2 linked regions of the Mus musculus genome follow. The protein of the gene in region 2 binds, or shares a complex with, the protein of the main gene of each other region. Links are inferred from orthologs where the notes say so. Each region holds a gene or a part of one and is shown on either strand. Other genes may lie near its edges.

Evidence for each region.
Region 1: Eif3g (region 2) and Eif3f share a complex: the UniProt entries of both Homo sapiens proteins name them as parts of the eukaryotic translation initiation factor 3 (eIF-3) complex. The link is inferred for Mus musculus from reciprocal best matches to the Homo sapiens genes EIF3G and EIF3F.

The regions. Positions count from the first base shown.
Region 1 is NC_000073.6:108,936,528-108,940,425, reverse strand, and holds part of Eif3f (eukaryotic translation initiation factor 3 subunit F), read right to left. Parts: intron 2,681-3,898; coding exon 2,610-2,680; intron 2,391-2,609; coding exon 2,311-2,390; intron 2,018-2,310; coding exon 1,880-2,017; intron 237-1,879; coding exon 145-236; intron 1-144. UniProt on the Homo sapiens protein: Component of the eukaryotic translation initiation factor 3 (eIF-3) complex, which is required for several steps in the initiation of protein synthesis.
Region 2 is NC_000075.6:20,895,405-20,900,911, reverse strand, and holds the start of Eif3g (eukaryotic translation initiation factor 3 subunit G), read left to right. Parts: upstream 1-2,321; 5' UTR 2,322-2,348; coding exon 2,349-2,368; intron 2,369-2,487; coding exon 2,488-2,534; intron 2,535-2,744; coding exon 2,745-2,828; intron 2,829-2,935; coding exon 2,936-3,024; intron 3,025-3,145; coding exon 3,146-3,205; intron 3,206-4,691; coding exon 4,692-4,796; intron 4,797-4,894; coding exon 4,895-5,084; intron 5,085-5,507. UniProt on the Homo sapiens protein: RNA-binding component of the eukaryotic translation initiation factor 3 (eIF-3) complex, which is required for several steps in the initiation of protein synthesis.

The DNA of each region.
Region 1 (3,898 bases), on a different chromosome or scaffold from region 2:
CCTGAACAAACCTTCAACTTTCAGTCAGCATGAACCTTGAGTGTGTTCTTTAAGCTACCCAGGGCTTCCATCTTTGTCAGAAACAGCTCCTCTCTTGAATAATCCTAGGGTCTCCAAGTGTGTACAGCAGGGAAGGAAACTCACCTCCAATGCGTTCAGTGTCATAATACGCGTACTTCACTGTGAGAGGTGTGAACATCACTCCCATGGTCCTCCCAGGGACACCCATTAAAGTGCTGGGGAAGAAGGAGAAAATTAATCGACCATCGCCCCTGGGAGCAGTTTCCTTGTGTAGACTAGGCTGGGAAAGCAGTCAAAGTTAGTGTCTTCCTCTTGAGAAGGCCGGGACTGTCCCAGAGTTATCTTGTGAGCAAACTTTCCTTTTCCTCTTTGGCTTGGAAAGGTACAGGATGACTTCACACACCATAATGCCAGTGAGGATGACAGGACTCTGGATGCTCCTGGCTGGCCAGACACTCCCATTTCCAGGGAAACCAGACACACCAGAACATTCTTTTCTGGGCCTGTGCTTTTGCTTTTCTTTCTTTTTTTTTGTCTTTTTCGAGACAGGGTTTCTCTGTGTAGCCTTGGTTGTCCTGGAACTCACGCTGTAGACCAGGGTGGCCTCGAACTCAGAAATCCACCTGCCTCTGCCTCCCAAGTGCTGGGATCAAAGGTGTGCGCCACCACACGGGCCTGCGCTTTTCATTACCATGAAAACGCCAAACTAATTCATGTCCCAAACCACTAGATTGGGCGCTAGAAGTAACTCAATAAAATTGTGCTTATTTCAACCCTGCATTTTCATCTGGATTTTGAAGAAAATGAATTTGTAGAGACTAGCAAGGACATGAAGGTAAGGGCCCAGTGCACAGTAATAGGCTCAAGTTATAGTAATAAGCTCTTCTTTCCTCAGATGCTAAAGCCTTCCCCAGCAAGCCCTGACAAATGGTGGTGTAGCTGGCAGCAAGTTTTATGTATCAACACTGCTATGTTACTGTTCAAAAGTATACTTATTTCTAGCTTAAAAGATGTGTTCCCAACAATGCTAGCATCTTCTAGTCTATAAATACTGTGCTTAGTCCTAGGAATAATGAATGCACTAACTAGGGTTTGTAGTAGCTTGACATAAGCTAGGCGATTCCTCTGTTGGATTGGCCTACAGGCAAGTCTGTGAGGCATTTTCTTGACCGATGTGGGTGTACCACCCCTGGGTAGGTGGTCCTAAGTGGAATTAGAAAGCAGTCTGAGCAAGCCAGGGGAGCACAGAGGTACGTGCAGCATCACCATGGTTCTGCTCCAGGCTCCCGCCCTGACTTCCCCCAATGTAGACTGGGATCTGTAGGCTGACATAAGCCTTCTCCTTCCCAAGTTGGTGTTGGTCTGTGTTTTATCACAGTAATAGAGAGCAAACCAAGCTGTGCAGTGGTGGTGCATGCTTTTAATCCCAGCACTTGGGAGGCGGAGCCTGGTCCGAGGCCAGCCTGGTCTACTGAGTGAGTTCCAGGTCAGTCTGGGCTATACAGAGAAACCCTGTCTCCAAAAACAAAACAAAACAAAACAAAACAAAACAGAACGCAAACCAAGACAATGAAAAACTAATGATAATTCAGAAAAGCAACAAATACAGGCTCAGAAGAACCTGATAAACACATCATGTGTGGGTTAACTGTTCCAGAAGATGATGCTAAAGGCACTTCCATTTGGAATGGTTCCAAACAACAAATACTCCAGTGTAAGCAGGACCAGTGAGTGAGTGTGAGTTATGGGGTCCGACTTCACTTTAGAAACTTCTCTAATGACAGCTGTTAAAAGAGGAATAAAGTTCCTGAAGAGAAACTAAGCGGCAGGATTAGACCTGAGCGTGCCCAGGGCTCACCTGACATAGGCCTTGATGCTCATGCGCCCATGCTGGAGACCTGTGTCCACCGTGAGGTGAATGGGGTTCGGGGCCTCCCTGCTGTAGTACTCATGGATCAGCACTGAGTGTTCTGTGATGTCATGGCCTGTGGCATACCTGCAACAGCAATCATAGACGCAGGGCAGCTGACACCAATACCAAATGCAACAGCGCAGCGGGTGTTGCCGGGGTTCTCACACCCATTTTAGCAGTAATTAACAATATGAAAAACTGCATAACAAAGTTGTAATTGAAAATAAATATTCTTGACTTTCTAGGATCAAGTTATCATCAAAATCTCATAGGCTCTCGAGGTCACATGCTTTATATGTTCTATGTCTGAAAGGGGAGACGAGATCTAGTCTGATGACAATGAGACCCTCTATCCACTCCCACCCGCGCCATCTTACCAGCCTAGGATGAGCTCATTTGGGGAGACTTTTTTATGTAATTCATACATATTCTTAGCAAATTCCATGTCAACAGCCACCTAAGGGGGAAGGCAGGAGAGGAGGTTAAGAAGCTACAAGTATATGCTGAATAGGAAAAATTACCAACCCCCACCACCTGAGGAGGCCCAATGTGGACAGGGAAAGCAGAGCTTCAGCTGCAGCTCTGGCTACAGACACAGCACAGTGGGGCCTTCGGGGAAGTTAGGGGTTGAATGGCTGTGAACTATACAGGGGCTGCTTAAATCCTCTCAACTCACTTCATCTTCTGACTCATTGTGTGGCACCGAAAAGCAGTTGGTGACTTCTACCGAGTGCTTGTCAACAGTTCCTGGTAAAGAGAGAAGAGCCAGGCGTTACATAATCCTGAGAACTCAAAGCCCATGGCCCCTGACTACCCAATCCCCCAGGGTCAGGGCCCTTTCTAACTAAAGAGGAACAAGAACTCCTGAGCCTCCTGTCTCCAACAGCCCCATGCTAGGATCACAGGTACGCATCACCACACCTGGCTCCTGTGGTGCTGGAGAGTGAATTCAGGGCTTTATGCACGATAGGCAAGTGGTCTATAACTAAGCTGTTTCTCCAGGTCCTGCTTTTGGAGATGGCCTCAAAGTCAGCAAACACGAAGCCAACACATTAGCCCCAAGTCCAGCATCAACAGAACTAGTATTTTCCAGAACTCAAACTCAGAGACCCCCCCCCCCTTTCCATCACCAGACACGATTAAGCCTTCCTTTGCAAGGTCTCCTTTGCCTGCTATTTCCCCCTACCAGCCCTTCCCCACAATACTCTGTACTTTCTAGAGTAGTAGTTTTTAATCTTTTAATGCTGTGACCATCATGTTGTGGTAACCCTTAACCATAAAATTATTTTCATTGATAATTCATAACTACAATTTTGCTACTGTTATAAATGTAATTGAAATACTTGTGTTTTCTGATGATCTTCTGTGAAAGGGTCATTCCACCCCCAGAGGTTTTCTTACCAGACTTCCTCTCACACCCCTAACTCTCACATTAGTTACTGGATCTCACTGAGCCATAGGTCCCAACTATTCTCACTTGATGTCCTGGTACCTTCCTTTAAGTTCCTCACCCCCTACCCCTTGTAACATGTCTCTGCTAGTGTTGTCTTTTGTTGGCTAGCGTTATGGTTTCATTTTCTGAACTATGTGGTGGTTTGAATATGCTTGGCCCAGAGAGTGGTGCTAACAGGAGGTATGGCCTTGTTGGACTAGGTGTGCCACTGTGGGAGTGGGCTTTGAGACCCTCCTTCTAGCCGGGTGGGACGAAGCCCAGTCTTCTTCTGGGTTCCCTTGAATAAGACATGGAACTCTCAGCTCCTTCTCCAGTGCCATGCCCGCCTGGATGCTGCCATGCTTCCCACCTTGATGATAATGGACTGAACCTCAGAACCAGTAAGCAGCCACAGTGAAATGCTGCCTTGGTCATGGTGTCTGTTCACAGCAATGGAACCCTAAGACAAGGTTCTTAACCCACAGGTATACCTTCTGTCATCTGAACACTCACCAACTTTGACCACTGTGACT
Region 2 (5,507 bases):
CAGGGTACAACCTGCTAGAGTTAGTCCTCTCCTTCCCTCAGATGGGTCCTAGGGTTGAACTCCAGGCAGCAGGCTTGTGGAGAGTGCCTTCACCCACTGAGCCATCTTGCCAGCTTAAGATACAAGTTCTAAGTGTTAGGAGTATAGGTCAGTATTAGTGTGCCCAACTCCCTGCTTTCCGTTCCCCACCAGCATCCCAAACAGACACATGGACTTGGAGTGGATGTTCCTACGGCAGAGAATCTGATATAACCTCCACTTACTTGACAGGAGCTTAGCACTGGAGAGAGTTTAAGGTGGCAGGAATAGAGCTTGCAACGTTTTTGCAGCTAAGGAGGTACTGGGACCTAGGTAAAATATTAAGGCCTAGATAAAATGTCAAGGCCTAGGTAGCCTACTTGGCTAGCCTACCATTATAAGGAAACTTTCTCATATGTTTCTGCTGTTACTAGGAAACTTTCTAATGCCAAAACTGATTACATATTCTGTTATGCCCTGTGCCCTTGGAAACCAATCATGATAGAAGTTAGTAGAACTTTTTTGAATAGTTACCCATAATAAGCTTTGACCTGAACCAACCACCCAGCAGCACTTACTAGCCATATATAAATTTTTATGGTATTTGTCTGTATAAGCTGTCCCTGGGATGGACTCCAACATAAGAGAGAAATCTCTGGCCTGGAGAGATGGCTCAGTGGTTAAGAGCTCTTCTAGAGGTCCTGAGTTCAATTCCCAGCAACCACATGGTGGCTCACAACCATCTGTAATAGGATTTGATGCCCTCTTCTGGTGTGTCTTCAGACAGCTCAAGTTTATATAAATAAAATAAATAGATGAGAGAGAGAACTGCACCAATATAAGAAACCCTTTGGAATAAGACTTCCATTTTGAGTAATGACTGAGTAAAGTTTAAGTTCCCAAGACCTCCCTGGAAACTGGCATCCTACTTGGCAGAAAGACATGTGCGTGGGTAACTGACAACCTGGTTGGCACATTGAGACATGAATGTTCAACAAGGAAAGTCTCTTGCCACCGTTGAATACCCAACCAATGGGAGCAGGATACGTGTAAGGCAAAACCATGTTCCCAGGTAAACCCCCCATTTCTGAATCCTGATTGGTGATGTGACTTGGCCCAGATGTTTGTGGATTTGAGGCTTAAAAACCCTGCAGGATCTTAAGTCAGGGTCACAGTTCAGGTCCTGAATCTGGACTGTGGCCCTGGTTAACCAGTCCTGACATGTATGCTCAATAAAGTGCCTCTCTCTGACTGAGACTGGGGCTCGTGTGGTCTGTGAGGGGACTCCTGGACCACAGCAGGAGGCTGGCTGCCAAGCCTGAAGGCCTGAGATCAATCCCAAGACCCACATAGTGGAAGGAGAGACTGTCTGCAAAGTGTCCCCTGACCTCCATGTGTGCTATGTATGCACAAGCATGCTGTCTTCAAATAATACAAACGCACAACAAGGTTGTAGGATAAACCCTAGCATGCTACACAGCAAAGGAGGCACAGGAGACCAGGTGGCCTCTTATTCAAAGAAAGGACGTCTTAGCACAGGACAAAAGGGTTTGGTCTGAGTCTGTTTCTTCTTCAACAAACCAGAATCCTGGTATCCTCTAAACGATGTGGGGCGAGGGCATTCTTGATACACGTGCTTTTCAGCCAAGCTTGTTGGCACACAATTATAGCCCCAGCTATTTGTGAATTCCTTGCGTTTAGGAGTTCAGGGGCAAGCCTGGGGAACAAAGCAAGACACCTTTAGTTTTGGAGACAGAGTCGCATGGAGCGCAGGCTAGTCTGGAATCCACGAGGTAGCTGAAAATGGCCTTTAACTCATAATTTTCCAGCTTCCACCTCCAGCACTGCGATTACTGATGGCTGAAAACTAATTCTCCGGGAAGAGGGAGAGAACGAATCAGTTCCGGGTGTGGCGATTTCATGTTCATATTCCCAGCACGGACGAGAGTAAGGTGGAAAGACAGCTATGAATTCAAGGCCACCCTGGGAATACTGCTCGTGAGCCTGTACTTTCAGCCTTTTGGAGTTGAGACAGGATTGTGAGGCTATCCTATCTATAGAGTGAGACACTCACGTCTAGCCCCATTACCCAAAGGGGGAAAAAAAAAGTTTAAAAAGTTCTTTGAAGCTTTTTTTTGGACCCCTTTTCCAGGTTGGATCTCAGCGCTTTGCGGTGCGCGAGAGCCGCGTGTCCACCTTTGTCCGCAGGGAGGCGCTGTGCTCACCGCGGTCTGGCCGCTCTAGGCTGCGGCCGCGGCACCGGAAGCCTCTTCTACTCCGGCTTCCTGTCTTTACCCGGGCTGGGAGCTGCGTGGAGTTAAGACTTCGAGATGCCGACTGGCGACTTTGAGTATGCGTGGGGTGGCGATGGGGTCGCCGGGGAGGCCGCGTGGGGGCTGCTCTGGGGTGCGTGGGGGTCTGGGCGGCGCGGGGGGCCGGGACCCGCTCACCAATCTCCTGTCCCCGCAGCTCGAAGCCCAGCTGGGCCGACCAGGTGGAGGAGGAGGGAGAGGACGGTGAGTGCCGAGCGTGGCCGCGCCCGCTGCCTGTTCCCGGGGCCCACGCTCCGGCTAGGGCCGCGCGTGGCCAGCCCCACCCTCGCCCTGCGCTGTGCCCCCGGTGCAACCCGCAAACACACAACACACACACACACACACTCTCTCTCTGACTTGAAAGTTCCCGTCCCGTGGCTCACTCTACCTTCCTCCCCGAATTCCCTCTGGCAGACAAATGTGTCACCAGCGAGCTCCTGAAAGGAATCCCTCTGCCCACCGGGGACACCAGTCCAGAGCCCGAGTTACTGCCCGGAGGTGAGCAGTGTCCATCCCTGCCTGCTTCCTCTTCCCTTCCGACTCTCAAGCCTACTTTCCAGCCAGTCCCCATTACCCGGGAATCAGTTTCTGTCATCTTCCTCCAGACCCGCTGCCACCTCCCAAGGAAGTCATCAATGGGAACATAAAGACAGTGACTGAGTACAAGATAGAGGAAGATGGGAAGAAATTCAAGGTGAGGTCGAAGTGGACACATAGGGCCAGTGCCTTTGTGTTCAGGGGTTCAGGTGGAGGGGTGTCAGTGGCTGAGACAGGGCCTGAGGCTCTGGAAGCACTCCTCTCTTATTCATCTTCAGATTGTCAGAACCTTCAGGATTGAGACCCGGAAGGCATCAAAGGCTGTGGCAAGGAGGAAGGTGAGATTCTACCTCATTTGGGGGGTAGGGTGTTCTCTGGGGCTGATCCTGAGGAGTTGGGAAGCCCCTTTTTGTTGATGTGGAGTAAACGTTTAGTGTTAGGCCTTGAAAGGTTAGGGCCCAGGAGTAGATGAAGTTAGATGCTTTATTTATTCATTTACTTTTGTTTTTTTATTGTTCTCCTTTTGTGTGCGGATGTGCGCAGCATCATCCCCCCCAGCACATGGCACAGCATACTTTTGGTTTGAGCTGGTCTCTCGGTATTAGGAACTAGACTAGGCTTGCTGGGCACTAACAGCCCCAGGGACCCTGCTGTCCCCACTTCCTGTCTGGCCTGCACCGGGAATGCAAGTTTGCCTCTGTGCACAGTGTTTGACTGTGGGTGCTCGGGGTCAGAGTCTGACGGACACTTGTGTGACAGACACTGTACTGAGACATACCCAGCCCTCTTGGGTTTTATTGTTTGTAGTTTGTTTTTCCAGACAGGGTTTCTCTGTGTAGCCCTAGCTGTTCTGAACTCACTCTGTGGTCTAGGCTGACCTTGAACTCATAGATCCACATGCATTAGGATTAAAGGCATTGCCACCATTTGCTGGCTTGTTATTTTTGAGAGGCTCTAGCTCTGGTCTTCATTCTAAATGCTTCTGCCTCAGCCTCCTGCATCCTGACCTCCATTCTCTCTCCTTTGACCTGTCTACATGAAGAAGCAAGCAGCCTCTACTTACCTAGGGGGGAGGGCTTGTAGAGGAGGGACAGCGACGCTTGAGAGCAAGGTCCCGTGCCAGCGTTCAGCAAGACACAGCTTCTCAGGCTCCAGGCCAGCTTAGGGAGGCAGGGAGCTTTGTGGCCCCTGTTTTACAGGCAGGAAATGAGTTTCAGGTTTAACTGGCTCGGTTCCTAAGGTCTGGGTGATTCCTCCTTTGTCCCTGGTGGGAGGCTGGCCATGGAGCAGCCCAGAAACTGCCAGCGGCACAGTGGAGCCCTGTACTCAACCTTTTTTTTTTTTTTTTTTCTCAAGACAGGGTTTCTCTGTATAGCCCTAGCTGTCCTGGAACTCACTCTGTAGACCAGGCTGGCCTCGAACTCAGAAATCTGCCTGCCTCTGCCTCCCTCCCAAGGGCTGGGATTAAAAGCGTGCGCCACCATGCCCAGCATGTACTTAACCTTTTATATGAGTGTTAGAAAGTGTACTGCACGTTTTCACACGAGCTACCTTACCAGCACCTACCTCAGATAACTCAGGCTGGTTTTGAGCTTGCGTGTCTTGAGGTCCTCCTGTTTGCACCTGGCAAGTGTTGGGGTGACAGTTGTGTGCCACTGTGTTTAGCTTAGGGAATGGGGATTGTCACCATTACCACAGGGAAGGCCTCTAGAGAGACTAGATCTTCGGATTCAAGGCCCCGGAATGGTTGTCTGTCTGGGGTACCCACTGCAGGATCCTTCCTGTCTTTTCCTCACTTCTCCCCATTGTTTTCTGGGAGCCCAGAATTGGAAGAAGTTTGGCAACTCGGAGTTTGACCCACCGGGGCCCAATGTGGCCACTACCACAGTCAGTGATGACGTCTCTATGACATTCATCACTAGCAAAGAGGTGAGCTGGGTGAAGCTGGAGCCTGAGAAATGCAGTGGGGGTGGTGTGGGCCGGGCCCAGCAGCCTCCTCTGAGCCTTCCCTCCCTATACCCCACCAGGACCTAAACTGTCAGGAGGAGGAGGACCCAATGAACAAGCTTAAGGGCCAGAAGATTGTGTCCTGCCGCATTTGCAAGGGCGACCATTGGACCACCCGTTGCCCCTACAAGGACACACTAGGACCCATGCAGAAGGAGCTGGCTGAGCAGCTCGGCCTGTCTACTGGGGAGAAGGAGAAACTGCCAGGAGGTGTGGACGTGGGGACCTGGGAGGGTCTCAGCTGTTCTGTGGTAGTGTGCTCTTCTCTTCCCTGCATTACCTGTGGCCAAGTTTGAGTGGCTTCGGGCATGGTCATCCTGATGTGTGACTGATAGCTTACTCTAACTTGGGTATGCGTGCGTGCATGCGTGCGTGTACATATATACTCTGTGTGTGTGTGTGTGTATGTGTGTGTGTGTGTGTGTACATATATACGCAGTGTGTGTGTGTGTGTGTATACACGTATATACTCAGGCAACATCCACCATGTATGTGCTGGGCTCAGTGTGGCCATAATCTAATGTGTCCTGTGGGGGTGGCTGCCTCTTGTGACTTGTATGGAACTTTGCTTCTCACTGTCATGGATGAGTGGCCTAGGGACATCCTCACTGTTGTGTGCCTGTAGTCGGGATG